4 linked regions of the Callithrix jacchus genome follow. The protein of the gene in region 2 interacts with the protein of the main gene of each other region in a pairwise test. Links are inferred from orthologs where the notes say so. Each region holds a gene or a part of one and is shown on either strand. Other genes may lie near its edges.

Region 1 (4,199 bases), on a different chromosome or scaffold from region 2:
ACACAAAGTTCGTGCTATATTGGTGATGTGGTGGGGTAATTAATAAATCCCCATCTAGGTGATTCTATTAGATCAGGGTTTGGTCCTAGAATCACCGAAGGTTTGTATCCCAGCTTTGCTTATAAGCAGTGTGACCTTGATTAAGTGAGGACTTCTTTTATGCCAATGGGAATAACAGTATCCACTTTTTTGGGGGGGGATGAAGTCTCACTGTGTCTCACCCAGGCTGAAGTGCAGTGGTGTGATCTCAGCTCACTGCAGCCTCCACCTCCCAGTTCAAGCAACTTTCCCGTCTCAGCCTCCTGAGTAGCTGGCCCTACAGGCATGTGCCACCACACCCAGCTAATTTCATATTTTTAGTAGAGATGGGGTTTCACCATGTTGGCCAGGCTGGTCTCAAACTCCTGACCTCAGGTGATCCACCTGCTATGGCCTCCCAAAGTGCTGAGATTCAAATATTCAAATGTTATCTCAAACAGCTTTTCCTCCTACAGACAAAGGTGAAGACTCAGGAGCTCCCGGCCTCAGGGGGCACAGCATAGTTAGAAAATCTAGGTGATAAGTGGCAGTAGCAGTGGCCCATACCAGGGACTTGCACACGTGAGTTCTGAAGGCCTGGAATGCATTTGAAGATGAGTTCATGAACAGACAGAAAGGATTCCACTAATAGCTGAGAAACACAAAGGTCACGTGTTTGTATGGGCCTCCAGGTGGTCGGTAAGGTTGGGGTCAGCATTAGTTTCTTCTTCTGTAAAATGGGGGCAGTTAAGAATTCCTCATCCCTTAATTATTCTCAACAGCAAGAAACCTTCAAAGGTAGAGAATAAAGAGAAATCTGTTTTCATAGAAAGTCCTTGTAATGGGTGGAGCAAGGTGCAGCTACCAGGTGCAGAAGACTGTCTACAGCAAGAAGTACTTCTCAACTTGTGACCTTGGGCCTGTGCTGGTCTAGATAAACCAGCTGGCGCCGGTGTCGCATGTGAGTTTCCTAGGGAGTAGTCACCTCCAAAGGGCCGTGTCGTCTACGGAAGAGTCACTACTCTGAGGTCTAGTCCATGGCCACATTCTCACTGCTGGGAGAAACAACAGGGTCAAGTCTAACAGTCCTTTCCCAGATGAAAAACATCCCTAACGGTGACATAAGCACACGTCCCTCGAGTAAGGAGCCATAAACGGATCTTCCCGCGTCTAAGCGTACTTTATAGAGCGACGCGCCAGAGGCCGTCGCCTGCAATTGCGCATCCGGTCACGGAGAGCATTATGGGATTGGTAGTCCAGACTGAGGCGCAGATGCGGGTCGCTGAAGCGATAGAACTACATTTCCCAGCAAGGCCCACGGAGCAGGGCACACAAACCGTGTACGTAAGTGACCAGACTTCCGGACGAGCCAGGGGCGGGACCTCAGCGGAGGCCTGAGCGAGGCGTCGGGATGCAGCGCCCCGGGCCCTTCAGCACCCTCTACGGGCGGGTCTTGGCCCCGCTGCCCGGGAGGGCCGGGGGCGCGGTCTCAGGCGGAGGAGGGAACAGCTGGGACCTCCCGGGTTCCCACGTGCGGCTGCCGGGGCGTGCACAGTCCGGGACCCGCGGCGGTGCTGGCAACACAAGCACCAGCTGCGGGGACTCTAACAGCGTCCGCCCGGCCCCCTCAACGATGTCCAAGGCCGAGGAGGCCAAGAAGCTGGCGGGTCGCGCGGCTGTGGAGAACCACGTGAGGGTGAGCTCCTCGGGGCGTGGGGCACATGTTCTCGGCGTGTTGGGCTCCTGTTGCGCCTTCTGGGTACTGCCGGGGCGCGCCTAGCTCCTGGCAGGGCGGGTGCTAAGTGAGAGGGTAGAGGGTGTGCACTTTACCGGAGTTTAGACCCCTCTTCCCTGCTCCTTAAAGACCTTTTAGAAGTAGAATCGGTTAGGGGCGAATCTTCTTATACTTGAGCTTTCTAAAGATTCCTTGTCCAGCTGGAGCAGTTTTCACAGGGGAGCCTGGTGGCGTCTGATGCTTGTAGTGGGGGCTAGAGGCACTTGCCTTGTGGCCTCCGTATCAACAAAAGGAATATGGTGGGCTTTGGGGCTGCGGAGCGGTTTTCATTTCTCTTTACGGACCCGGAAGCCAGCGGAGAGTTGGTTTGCTAGTACTTTGAAATTTGAGTTGAAGGAGGCTCTTGGCTTGGTGCGCACCGGCCCCTGACTGTACTCCTGGAGGGAAGGGAAGACCCGGGGCTTCATACCTTTTTCTTTCCATAGGGCGGGGTGGACTAAGTCTGGAGGATGCTGTTTTGTTTTTGTTTTTTTTTTAAAGCCGGGCTGCGGAGATGTTTAGCTGTTATTTATTCAGGCCGTGGCCCCTACTTGTTTGTTAAATGGTGGATATGGTGCTATTAGTGGAGTTTTTATAATCCAAGTGGTTTTGCTGTCACCAATCAAGTTAGTTATGTTAATTATAATAAGGAAACCTAGTGGAGTATGTCTGCCCTGTGGTGTAGTTTCCTTGGTCTTACTGTCTTTTTATCTCCCATTTCTACTTATTAGAAAGTGGTATTAGATTTCCCCTTTCTTTTCTGATGATAGTTCTTTACATCTGTTAATGCTTTGCTCTACATAATTAATTTGCTTAGATGATGTTGTATGAGCTTCACCACAGCCTGTTTGAGTGGGAGTGGCCAGTGTGGTAACCTGTGGCTCAGCCAGTTCTGTAGAAGGGATGTACCAGTGTGCCCTTCTACCGTTTCCACTCCTGCCCTGTTCTGGTGTAGCTTGTTGCAAGTCTGGTTGGCAATAGGATTTTCTATGGGGATTAACAGAGATAATGTAAAATGTATTAATTTGACCCTACCTTTGGGATTCAGTGCCTCAGTTGTAAAGTTGAGACAATTAGCTGAAAATTCAAAATATCTGCATAAAGTGAATAGCTAACGGACAAATGAAATCCACATGAGAATACAATTAGAAAAGCCCAATATCCAAGTTTTCCTGTTAACGAATTTACATTAATATTTGGTGGCACATCTCCCTGACACTTGTATTATAGTTATGTATTTGGTTAAATAAAAATCTGCAAGCCCTAACCTTAGGCTAGAGCCCCAAAACACTGGATTCTGACCGCATCATTTCATGAAGTTAGCAGGTGATTTTGGGGAGATCTACATTGGCCTTTCGGGGGCACCTGTTAAAATCATGTATGCCTTTCAGGGTTTGGCTTAAAGGCCATTTCCTCCTTTCAGTTTTGCCTTAGCATTCTAAGGAGAGGGAGATTTCTTCTCTGTGATTCTGTAGCACTTCATGCCACTTGCATGCTTTATGTTGTATTTTATGTTCTCATCATCTGTGTGTTCATTTCTTCCAGCGCCTTAAAGGGTAAGCTCCTGGAGGGTAGTTAACCTTCATTTAGCATTGGTCACAGTGGGGACTGCCCAGTAAATGTTTGTTCAGTTGTGTGCAGTGTGGACACAAATATGAAAGTATTGGGGTTATTGGAGGCTCTTTGTATAGAATTTCTGGGGAGTAGCACTTCCTGTTCCCTAGTCCATTGTTGTTCCAATATGGTAACAACTTCCATGTCTGGGTGGATGGAAGACTGAGAGTTCTCAGGTGAATCGTTTGTATAGCCACCCTGGACCCAGCTCTGTCTGTTTCTGGGGGTGTAGCCATCTAGGATGGGTCGCTTTGCAGATCTACTTTCTTCTGAACATCTGTAGCCTCATCCCTTTGTTCTCTTTGGAGCTTGGGCTTTGTTTTTTGACTGGCTTGGTTGAGGAAGCTGATGGACAATGATTCTAGTTGGTTAGCAGTAGTATGTATTTCCAAAGTTACTCCATTCGACAAGCTGAGTGAAGTTCTGATGTTGCACATACATGTGGTTTAATATTGCCCATTAGAATGGGGCCACTCCTCCAGCAGGGCCTGGTTGGTAGTCTTCTGCTGTTGGGCTGCATCATAGGCAGTCTTTGGTCACCTCTGGTTGGCTTTGGCAAGGGCACTGATTCCTAGGCCAGTCATTTGATTCCAAGGCCTCAGCGATTACGTGGTTGAAGAGCTTTAGGCTTGGCAGGCCCTTGCAATTACTGGTCTCTTCCAAAAGGCAAAGAAGGAGCCTTGTACAGAGCTTGTCTGATTCATCCAAGTTCGTCTCTCTGCTACCTGCCTTCTGGGGACTGTGAGTGACATGAATGTATGGATAAGCTTGGTAACCAGGAGTTTGGTGATTG
Region 2 (3,953 bases):
TGCTCACCTGGGGCTTTGTGGGATGCTGAGTTGGTTCTGCACAGCAAGGGCCACACTGTCACCCTTCTGGAACACCATGTCATAAGGGCCTTCCCCAAACATCATGGCATATAGCACGCAGCCTAGGGACTGAGTATAACTTGGTTAGTACCTAGAAGGGGACCAATGGAGGTGACATCTCTCTCCTTCTGTGGTAAAAGGACACTATATAAGCTAAAAATATGCTGACCTCAGCCACATGGTACCGCCAGGGCCCAGAGAAACTGCCAGTCAGCCAGAGGCCTCTGTAGCCGCTGCTTAGCCAGTGCCTTCAGTACTGACACTGAGCTGTATTCACCCTGTTCAGGGGCAGGGATTATACCACATCCGGTGCAATTGGGTACAGTATCAGTAACAGTTCCCAGGAAGGAAGTTGAAGTGGATGGGGACATATTGTGGCTCCTGGGGCCCCATGCAACAGAAACCAACAACCTACTCTACTCCACAGTGGGTACAGAGCCACAGCCCTCCCTACCCAGATGCCCTCCTACATGCTCCTCACCCAGACATCAGTCCGCTCATCGATGACACAGTGACTCTGCACAGAGAAGAGTTCTGGGGCTCGGTAGGAGATGGTGCACCGCTGGGCTGCCCAGTCCTGGAACAGTGGTCCCAGAGCTCAAAAGTGGAGCACAGGGCATGGTCATGTGACCAAACCGGGGCATGCACCAGAAGGGGCGGAATGGGGAACTGGTGAGAAAAGGAGCATGGAGACTCTTTTACCTGCAGGGTCAGGGCCTGGCGGGAGCCCTCCACGTGGATGCATGCTTGATTCATGGAACCCAAGTCCATTAAAACTGGCTGCCCTTCGTCTCCAAGCAATATATTGGTGGGCTTCAGGTCTCTGTAGGGAAGTAGAAATGACCTGGACATCTCTGGACAGGAAGCCTGGAATCCCGGTGAGCAAAAGAGTCATGCAGGCTGTTTCTTGAGAGAACAGAGACCTCCCATTTCTCTTAGTGAGGCTCTTCCTCTGGGCCCCAGCAAGCACACAGGGTCCTCCCACTGACCTGTGGGCATAACCCTTGGCATGAATGGCCTCAAGCCCTCTGCAGATCCCCAGCAGCAGCCGAAGGATTTGATCCTCGGTCAGGAAATTGCCTTTGTCCTTCAGCCTTTCTATCTCATTCCACAGCGTACCTCTCTGCAACACAAGTTTCCCTAAAGTTGGAGATGTTTTTGGAGCCTCTGCTCCCTAGGCCTGATCCCTTCCATGTGTCAAAGCCTATCAGGCCTTTCATGACACACACCTCAAACCCCAAATCCAAAGCGGCCACCCAGGACGTGGTCCCTGCTTCCTAACATCTGGACTGCTCACACAGCCCTTGGGTACGTGGCTCTGTTGCAACCCCCTCCATAACCAAGAGTCTTTCTGACCTTGAAGAATGGTAGCAGCAGCCAAGCCTCATGCTTAGCACCCCGCTCCCTCAGACAGTAAGCCACGAGGTGAAGGATGTTGGGGTGATTGAAGAGGTGATGCATGTCGGCCTCTCGCTGGGCCTCCTCCCGGTCCTGCTGCTCATGACACAGGATTCGCTTCAGGGCGTAGAAGTGTCCATCATGTAACCCTTCCACTAGGTCCACATAGCTGAACCCACTGTGGGCCAAAGGGGTCAATGAAGGGCCATGGTCATCTCCAACATGGCTTGGACCTAGAGAAATTTCCTGGTGGGGAGTGGGGTGTTCTTCCCATTTAGCAGAAACCCTCCCAAGATGTGGCTCTAAGTGAAATCTGAAGAATATTATACTGTGAGCTCCTCAGGAGCAGAGATATAGAAATCTTTGAGGTCCTATGGTCATAATAGAGATCTCTGCACCTGACAGAAGTAAATAATAGCCAACACTTATCAAGTACTTAGGAACCAAGCACTGGGTGAGACATTTTATAATATTATCTCATTTAATCCTCACAACTCCATCAGTGAGGCATGATAATCATCTCCATTAAGCAGATGGAAAAAAACATGGTTTATCAAAGTCACACAAAGTGGATTTAGCAGGCCTGGCTCCAGGATCCACCTTCTCGATACCGTGTAGCTAAGAGCTGTCAGGTGAGAGAGGACAGGGATAGGGATAAAACCCTTGTGCCCCAAACATGTGCAGACCGCTGTCCTTCAATGACCATAACCTTCAGGACTAGTTAATTGACTTCCAAACACTCACCCCTCCCCCAGTTTCTGGATGAAGAGGTAGCGCTTATTGTCAATGATGACAGTTCCCCGAGAGCAGACACACAGTGCGTGGCCCATAATGTCTCAGTCATCCTCTTCAAGGACGATCTGAGGCTACCGAAGAGCTCGTCCAAGATGAGTGGGCTCTTCCAGGAGATGCGCTGGGAGCCCAGCGGATCATGCTGGAAAGAAAACAACGGCAGGGTCGCAGGTCCGGCACAATCCAGAAGATTCCTGAAGTCCCAATGCGGAGAGCTCAGGCCCAGGTCTCTGGGACCTACACTACTCTACTGTCTAGGGAAAACAGGCCCTGCTCCGTCGCCAGCTCCAAGGGTGGGGTCAGGGGCCTTACGGCCTCAGGACAGACACACAGCGGCTACCCAGCCACTTCCTCCAACCCCAGCCCACCTTTGGGCAGCCCCACTCCCATGCCCGTCGCGCCGCAAAGGCAGAGCACAGGGTAGTTCAAAAGACGTGCGAGGCTCAAGCCCATTCCTGGCAGGGCCCACCCCTGGCTTCGGAGCCCAGAGCCCGGGGTGGGCCAGCCCGCACTCCCCGACTGACCTGGCTCGGCCAGAGCGCAGCGCCACGGACCGGAAGCAGCGCTGACATCATCAGTCCGCACCGGCGCAACGGCCGGCGATATCTTAGCAACCGCTAGGCAGTCGGAGGATGTGAGGGCGGCGAGCTGAGAGGCCCGGAGCGGGCTAGGCCTGGCGGGGGACGGGTCGCAGGACTCTTGTGAGGGTTCTCTACTTGGCCTTCAGTAGGGGTCAAGACGCAGACACCTGCGCCAAAGGGGAACAAAGCCGGGCTTGGCCCGAGGCCCCCAGGATCTCCATCTCCTAATGTTGGAGGTAGGAGGCTTCATACCTCCGGCACTCCGGGGCAGAACGCCGCCGACTACACTGCAGCCTGGAGGGGGATCCAGGGAGGGGCGGGTCTGGTGGTCTGGATTGCTGATCCCGTACAACTTCCGGGCTCTGGGCTGTATCGCACTACCCTTAGTCTCAGTGATTCAGAGCTCAGGCTTGTGAACCAGACTTTCAGTTTCTAAATTGAATGTTAATAGCATACTAGCTGTGTAAACTCGCGCAAGTTTCTTAACTTCTTGGATCATTAATTTTGGTACCTGAAAAAAGGTATTAGTACCTAAGGTTAAGTAGCTTAACCGTGAGGCGGGACTGACTAGTTGAAATGCCAGCTCTATTAACATAGTTGCCTGACCTTGGACAGGCTACTTAATGTTTCCGTCCTTTCCTCTCCTCCTCTGTGAAATGGAAATGATATTATCTACCTCGTGGACTTGTTTGAAGATTAGATGAGATATACAGTGTTTAATACAATATCTGACACATAGCCTTCAGTACGTGTCAACAGTAATTATTATTACCCTGATCTTCACATCCCATGCTTGAAACTGTAAAAGCAAAAGGAACGGAAATTCACAAATTTCCAAGCCTTGGCACAAAGCAATTGTCCTTGACATCTGTTGCCGAGGCAGGCAGGGGTAAGCTGGAGAAGGGTGCACTTCCAATGAAGGTGGAATGGCCAGGAGGGAATGGCTGTTTTGCTGAAACAGGGGTCTCAGGAAAAAGGTCCTTCTATGACCTGGTTGCCCCCTTCCACACCCCGGATCACGCTGAAGATTTTCCAGTGGTTTCCCTTGGTTCTGAACATGTTTTAGCTCTTTGGTTCTGACATTCATTCATCTAGATTTAACCTGCTGTGTGCCGGGCCCTG
Region 3 (4,038 bases), on a different chromosome or scaffold from region 2:
TGTGCCTCCCATTGTAAGTCTTAATTAAGAAGGTAAACAAGGCCAGGTGTGGTGGTTCATGCCTGTAATCCTAGCACTTTGGGAGACCAAGGTGGGTAGATCACTTGAAGTCAGGAGTTTGAGACCATCCTGGCCAACATGGTGAAATCCTGTCTCTACTAAAAATACAAAAATTAGCTGGGTGTGGTGGCACATGCCTGTAGTCTTAGCTACTTGGGAGGCTGACGCAGAATGGCTTGAACCTAGGAGGTGAGGTTGCAGTAACTGAGATCCTGCCATTGCACTCCAGCCTGGGCGACAGAGCGAGACTCTGCCTCGAAAAAAAAAAAAAGAAAAGAAGAGGAAAGTAAACTAAGGGCTTGTTCCCTGAAAATAGACACGGTCTCCCTTCCCTTGAGACTCCCTGCACCTCAAGTCAATGGGAATGAATAGGCACATAGAGATAGGCTCTCCCCGAATGGGAAGTTCTGGATATCACATATCCACATGCTCCCCATACCAGAATCTTCATCCTCGACCTGCTTTCAATTTTTCCATAGAATTTAGCATCTTTGTGCCAGGTATAGTAGCCAATGCCTATAATCCCAGCACTTTGCAAGGCTGAGGTGGGCAGCTCACCTGAGGTCAGGCATTCGAGACTAGCCTGGCCAACATGGCAAAACGCTGTTTCTACTAAAAATACAAAAAAAAATTAACTGGGTATGGTGGTAAACGCCTGTAATCCCAGCTACTCAGGAGGCTGAGGCAGGAGAATCGCTTGAACCAGGAGGTGGAGGTTGCAGTGAGGCGAGATCACCGCCATTGCACTCCAGCCTGCCTGAGAGATGAAAGCAACACTCCATCTCAAAAAAAAAAAAAAAAAAAAAATTAGCATCTTCTAGCATACATTATAATTTACTTATGTTCTATGTTTAGTGTTTATTTTTGTCTGTCTCTACACACCTCTCCCACTAGAAGATAAACTTCAGAGGGCTGGAGTTACTGTTTGGTTCACTGCTGGATTCCAAACGCCTAAAATAGTGTCTGGCACGCAGTAGGTGCTCAAGAAATATTTGTTGAAGGAACAAATGCTAAAGGGAAGGGATTGATGGAACAAAAGTTTCCTGGGTCAGGCCCAGGTTCCTGCCTTGTTACCTGGTTTCTCCTCAAACAAACAGAGGTGGGTGGGGAGTGGCCCTGAGCACGCAGCCTGCAGGCTTTCAGATTGGGTTCAGGCTGGGCCGTGGGTGAGAGGGCGCAGTGCTCAGCCTGGCAGTCGATCCCCCCGTGGCCATGGCATTCAGAGGGCCTGAACCCTGGGTCTCTACATCCCTGCTGAGCCGGAGACTGAAGGCAGAGGAGAAGACCCTGGATCTAGAGTTCGAAGTTTTGAGCGTGGGGTTTAATGAGGGGGGTAGATATGCCCTGAGACTGTCAGCTGAGAACCCCTTGCAGGCGGGCTCTGGGGCTGGGGTGCAGTTGCAAGTGAATGATGGGGATCCCCTCCATGCCTGCTCTGTTGTCACTGATGTCATTGAGCAGCAGGAACCTGGCCACAGTCTCACCCTCACCAGGAACAAGTTTATCTTTACTTTGCCCAAAGGTATGAAGTGGGGGTGGGGCTTGGGGGAGAGAAAGACCCTGGAACCCCTGCCTCAGCCCCACTCTGGGACCCCAGAGAGCCTGAGGAGAACTGGGAGGGGTGGGGCTCCAGACTGCATGCCAAAGCTCTGCTGGTGTGACCTTGGGCAAATTCTGGGCCTCTGTGACCCCTGCCTCCTTCAGTGTGGCCTGGGAACTGGACGCTGATGTCCATCACGCAAGGTCAGGTGAGAAGGAAATAGAAGCGCAGATGAGAGATGGCTTTGTAAATATAAGAGCTCTGATCATACGGTGGGTTTGGGGGCCAGTCCTCGGCAGTGGACATCACACTGAGTAACGTTAGACTCAGCCCCTTGAGTGCCTGGCCCTGATCCCCACTTGATTGTGGGCATGGGGGTGTGGACAGAAATGAGGGGACCCAGGGCCCAGGACACCTGGGCCCTGCCTTCTGGAACTTCCAAAGCAGGTGAAGGGACAGGAACTTCAAGCAGAGAGAAGTAACGTGAGCTGGAATGAGAAGGAGATCTATACCTAGACTGTGAGGTCACCCCAGCAGGCTGCCTGGAGGAGGAGGGATGTGGGGGAATGGGGAAACCAGGTCACAGACTTTAAGTGGCCATAAATCAGGGGCAGGCTGAACTCTTCCCAAGTCTAAGAGTCGAGGTTGGTAGCAGGACCTGGGATCATCCCACAGGCTAAGCCCTCCCTTCCTCACCTCTGCTGGGTGGGCTTGGATTGGGTATCAGCAAAGGGAGGGAGTCCAGGGAGGGTTTCTCTGCAAATGCTGGGGGCCTAGGAGGGAGTCGCCCACCAGGGAAATCTTAGCCAAGACTGCTTGGCTTCCACTCGAAGGCTGGGCAGCCCAGGTTTCCCCAGGGCCCTGCCTGTCCTCCTAGTCCCCCAGCAGATGCAGAGAAACCTGAGACCATCTCTGAGCCCCGTGTTCCCTCATCCAGGTTTCTGCAAGAATGATGGGCAGCATGACGCTCAGCTGCGCGTGGAGGCGCTGAGGCTGGACGAACCCTCAGGATGGACGACCCAGCGGGTGGGTGAGGCCATCTTCCCCATCTACCCGAGGCCGGACCAACCCCGCATGAACCCGGAGGCTCGGGACCATGAGGACCTGTACCGCTACTGTGGCAACCTGGCGCTGCTCCGGGCCAGCACGGACCCCACAGCCCGCCACTGTGGGGGCCTGGCCTACAGTGTGGCCTTCCACGTGCACCGGGACCTTCAGCCCCCAATCTCAGACAGCACTCTGGGGGCTGGCCAGCCAGAACGGATGTCACCATGCCCAGAGCCCCAGCTCCCCAAGCTGCAGGTGGGTGCTTCCCATGTCCTCGTTCAGATTTGGGCTCACTGGGCACAAGACCCAACCTCCCTGATAAGCCAGGCTAGCGCCTCTCCTGAGCTGAGCAGAGCAGCAGAGGAGCTCCCAAGGCTGCCACCTTCAGTCTGGGGAACATGCAGTCTGAGAATGGACACAGGAGTCCCAGTTTGAAGGGACAGACAGAAAATGGGCAAAGGCCACACAAATCAGGTAGCCAACTAAGTGGGGTTTCTTTTGCCCTGTGGGTTAGTGACCCCTGAGCCCCTTCAGTTCCCAACCTTGTTCTCACCAGATTTTGCGGAAGGCCCCAGGTAACCAGGGAACACAAATGTCTTCTGTGTGCCCATCCTCAAGCCCATCCAGCATCCACCCTGCCCAGGAGGGGCTTGGCTCCAACCCAGGACCCAGGTGAGAGGGTCTAGTCCTTATCCAAAATATAGGAGGCTTCTCCCCTATGGCCATGCTCTGTGACGAGAGAGTGTGTCTGGTAGGCTTCACGGCCAGCGCAGATAGCAGCTGGTAGAGCGAGTAGTCACCCATTTGACAGGTGGAGAAACAGGCCCAAGGTACGCTTGACTCCACTTAATGTCAACAGCATTTCCTGGAGACTTCAGTGCATAATAGTGCACAGGATCCAAAACTGATCAGCCCCTAAGCTCAGGGGGTCGCCTGGCTTGAAGACAGTTGGGTATAGTGAGGGCATCATCCATGGTCCTGTAGGGCATGGCTGGCTGGCAGGAGAGTTCTGGTGAGGGAGTGTGCATGTCGGATTTTGGTGCCTGGGAATGGCTTCTTGGAAGAGGGGTCGTTTGAGATGAATCTTCCCATTTATTCATTCATTTACTCTTTAATCCATTAATTCATCCATCAAACATTTGTTAAATGCCAACTTTGCCGACTGCATGCTACGAGGGTGAGATTTAGGGACAGCAATCCTGGGCTCTGGGGAGGGTGTTCCAGGAGGAGGGACCACAATGCACTAGGTAAGGAAAAGGGGGAGGTTCGGCTGGCAGCAGAGGATAAGCTGAGGTTGGAGCCTGCAGCTGACAAGCAGAGACGCCTGGCCCACCTGTGGAGTCTCTCTCCCTGGAGATGGGAGAAAGTGGAGGGGGTCGAGGGCACCAGAG
Region 4 (2,801 bases), on a different chromosome or scaffold from region 2:
CTTATTACACATGTGTAGATAATTGGATCATATTGAATTCTCATCAATAAGATACAGACATTTGATCGTGATTGCCAACAAATACTGGGTGACTTTAAAAAAGTTACTTGAAATCATTTTGATTTGTCTTCAATTCAATTTTGCTTGTATGTATGTCTATAACCATATAGATCTAAGTTTTATTTTTGTTCCCTGAAGATTCCTGATATAACTGTCAGCTAGTTTTCTACCTTATTCTTATTGGCCTTGTCACAAGAATCAACATTTCATAAGGGAACCAAGCTAATTCCCGAGTCTGAGATTTTAATGAACAAAAGCCTGTGTATTTAGTAGACATCTACTACCTGTAGTCTGAGTAACAAAAATCTCTGAACCCCCAAAAGTTTGTTTGAATCCCAAACTTCATATGGTTTTCAAACCTATTCCTATATATATACCAGTTGTTTCATAATAATCCCCTAAATATGTCACAACCAAAACTTGGCAATAAAAAACCACCACAAACATAGCTGAATATCAGACCAGTAGATTTATTTCGTTAAAATGATTTGACTTTTTCCACAATTGTGGAAAAAATAAAATAATATAAATTCTAACTTTAATGTGTACTTCAAGATTATTTTGGGTTAGTACACAGGTTTTCAGATGAAGCCTGCCAGTCAGTATCTGGGGCCAAAGACAAATTGAGAACTTGATAATTAGAGAATAAGAGGCTAATTCTTTCTGTACAAGATGAAGACAATAAAGGTTATGAGTAGAGACATTAATGGCATCGGCCAATAAAATTAGCAGTTTAACAAGATGATCAATAATAGAAGCCTGATCCACAAGTTGGTCTGTAACAAGAAGACTGGCAGCTCCTAGAAGCCAAGTAGGTTGGGCGGCAGAATCCAGATCCATAGCCCAGGGAAGGGAAGCCGCAGCCTCCATAACCCAGGGATCTGAAGCCACTGGATCCGCAGCCCACTGAGTAGCAGCTCCTAGATCCATAGCCCAGGGGGCGGCAGCTGCTGGAGCCAAAGCCTAGAGGCCCAGAGTAAGTCGTCTGGCAGGGATTGAAGAGCACAGAGGTTCTCGGGCGGTAGCAGGAGGTCTGGCAGGGGCTGGACTCCACACAGGATGTCTGGTAGCTGGTGGGCTCGCAGCAGGGCTCCTGACAGCCCCCGTAGAGAGAGGAACCCAGCTGGCAGGTGCTGGGAGAGCAGAGGTCAGTGCTGTAGACCAGGTTGCTGGGGTAGGAAGAGCCACAGGAGGAGCCTGGGTAGCGCATGTAGCCCCCACAGGAGCGGGAGGAGAAGTTTCCAGAGCAGCAGTTGTAGGACATGTTGACGGGAGATGTGAGTTCAGCTGAGTTACACTGAGAAGATCTGAGTTTGGATGCCACTCCTGGAAGGGACCATTTATATACTTTCAACTGTGGGTGTGGCACCTGACAGGGTCATCCTTCACGTGTTTGAGCTCCCACATTTGCATATAAGTAACTTAGTAATCTTTGTAATTGCAGTTAACACGCTTCATCTTATATTTATGGAAGAACTCATTTTGTTTTTACAGCTCTGCGTCAATGAAATACATTTATGTTACAAATGCTATGACTGTATGTGATTAATGTCCACTCCATTATGGCCAGGAAGACCCCTCTTATTTTCTCTGGCCATGATTTACACACTTGCTCCTGTTTTGGCTGGGAAATTCTTTCTGTCTTGGATGGGGATGGCAATGTACTCATATTTTTTGTCAGTGGCCTAGCAGCAGAAATTTTATTGGTTCACACTCTCCAAAATAGTTTGCCGTCTATTATTTACTATAAGCAATGTTTATCATTGCTGTCTCAAGGACTATGTAAAAGTAATCCAGAGGGATTGAGAGATAACTAAAACCAGATATCATCTTGAACACGTTTAGAAAAAAAAATTAGTGTTTAGAAAAAAGAAATCAAAACAAAAGCCAAAAAAAATGAAAAACATCAATATGGACAAATGTGGAAAAAGCAAACCTCACCTCACTGCTAAGATAAGGTAGGAAATAAAGCACAGTAGCAGAAGGATGATCAGGACTGCCAGGGTTCCAGCTAACTGATGGGTAGTCCATCCTGAAAGCAAATCAAAATGCTTTCAAATAGACGTATTTAATAGCTTTTGTATGATGCATTCATATTTGTAAGTGTCCTGGAGCCTGCATGCTTATAACACCTCAAAACCCCCACCTCAGTATTCTGAATGCTTTCTGAGTATTTCCAGAATAATGCCACCAGCTTTTATGTTTTTCCCTCTTCTTGTGGGACGTGACTCTGTCCCAGCCCTCTTTAAAGAGATGGATTTAGGTTGTGTGGGTGTGGAAAAATATAATTTGGGGATCCTCATTAAAAATACCATATTATGAATATAATAATAGATATAAACACAGATATTAATATAGAATAAACACTTCCAAAGTTAACAAAACTCAAGACATCACAAAATCAAGACAATAATATACCATTATCATCATCATCTATAACCTTTTCCTATATTTTTTGGCTGCATCCTCTTGGATCATCTCCACATAGGACAATGATTTTTTCAACATGATTTTCTGCAGAACAAATGGAAGTAAAATTCAGTGTGTTTTAGAAATAGTATATCAAAACTACTTGAATTACTTTTTAATGACACAGAAAAGTGTTTTTTTTTTACATTGCCATTTCTTGTGAGCAGTGCCACAGCTGTAACATCTTCTGTCATTTCTTTTCAGCAGTGCTTCAAGCCTGAGATTGTGCGCCTCTCATCCAGATGTCCCTGGTTTACCTCCCACCTGTGTCT

What was found.
Region 1: the proteins of STK16 (region 2) and RPIA interact in binary tests that used the Homo sapiens proteins (3 or more experiments, as listed by UniProt). The two-hybrid records come from large-scale screens. The link is inferred for Callithrix jacchus from reciprocal best matches to the Homo sapiens genes STK16 and RPIA.
Region 3: the proteins of STK16 (region 2) and CCDC33 interact in a two-hybrid assay, tested with the Homo sapiens proteins (2 studies listed by BioGRID and IntAct). The two-hybrid records come from large-scale screens. The link is inferred for Callithrix jacchus from reciprocal best matches to the Homo sapiens genes STK16 and CCDC33.
Region 4: the proteins of STK16 (region 2) and KRTAP13-1 interact in a two-hybrid assay, tested with the Homo sapiens proteins (2 studies listed by BioGRID). The two-hybrid records come from large-scale screens. The link is inferred for Callithrix jacchus from reciprocal best matches to the Homo sapiens genes STK16 and KRTAP13-1.

The regions. Positions count from the first base shown.
Region 1 is NC_133515.1:25,431,909-25,436,107, reverse strand, and holds the start of RPIA (ribose-5-phosphate isomerase), read left to right. Parts: upstream 1-1,389; 5' UTR 1,390-1,429; coding exon 1,430-1,714; intron 1,715-4,199. UniProt on the Homo sapiens protein: Catalyzes the reversible conversion of ribose-5-phosphate to ribulose 5-phosphate and participates in the first step of the non-oxidative branch of the pentose phosphate pathway.
Region 2 is NC_133507.1:140,988,145-140,992,097, reverse strand, and holds the start of STK16 (serine/threonine-protein kinase 16), read right to left. Parts: upstream 2,801-3,953; 5' UTR 2,619-2,800; exon of another isoform or gene 2,393-2,618; 5' UTR 2,289-2,392; coding exon 2,203-2,288; intron 1,637-2,202; coding exon 1,417-1,636; intron 1,184-1,416; coding exon 1,050-1,183; intron 928-1,049; coding exon of another isoform or gene 884-927; coding exon 763-883; intron 658-762; coding exon of another isoform or gene 638-657; coding exon 542-637; intron 130-541; coding exon 8-129; intron 1-7. UniProt on the Homo sapiens protein: Membrane-associated protein kinase that phosphorylates on serine and threonine residues. In vitro substrates include DRG1, ENO1 and EIF4EBP1. Also autophosphorylates. May be involved in secretory vesicle trafficking or intracellular signaling.
Region 3 is NC_133509.1:21,056,814-21,060,851, forward strand, and holds the start of CCDC33 (coiled-coil domain-containing protein 33), read left to right. Parts: upstream 1-1,228; 5' UTR 1,229-1,272; coding exon 1,273-1,582; intron 1,583-2,537; coding exon 2,538-2,873; intron 2,874-4,038.
Region 4 is NC_133522.1:36,448,768-36,451,568, reverse strand, and holds KRTAP13-1 (keratin-associated protein 13-1), read right to left. Parts: upstream 1,376-2,801; 5' UTR 1,325-1,375; coding exon 806-1,324; 3' UTR 511-805; downstream 1-510. UniProt on the Homo sapiens protein: In the hair cortex, hair keratin intermediate filaments are embedded in an interfilamentous matrix, consisting of hair keratin-associated proteins (KRTAP), which are essential for the formation of a rigid and resistant hair shaft through their extensive disulfide bond cross-linking with abundant cysteine residues of hair keratins.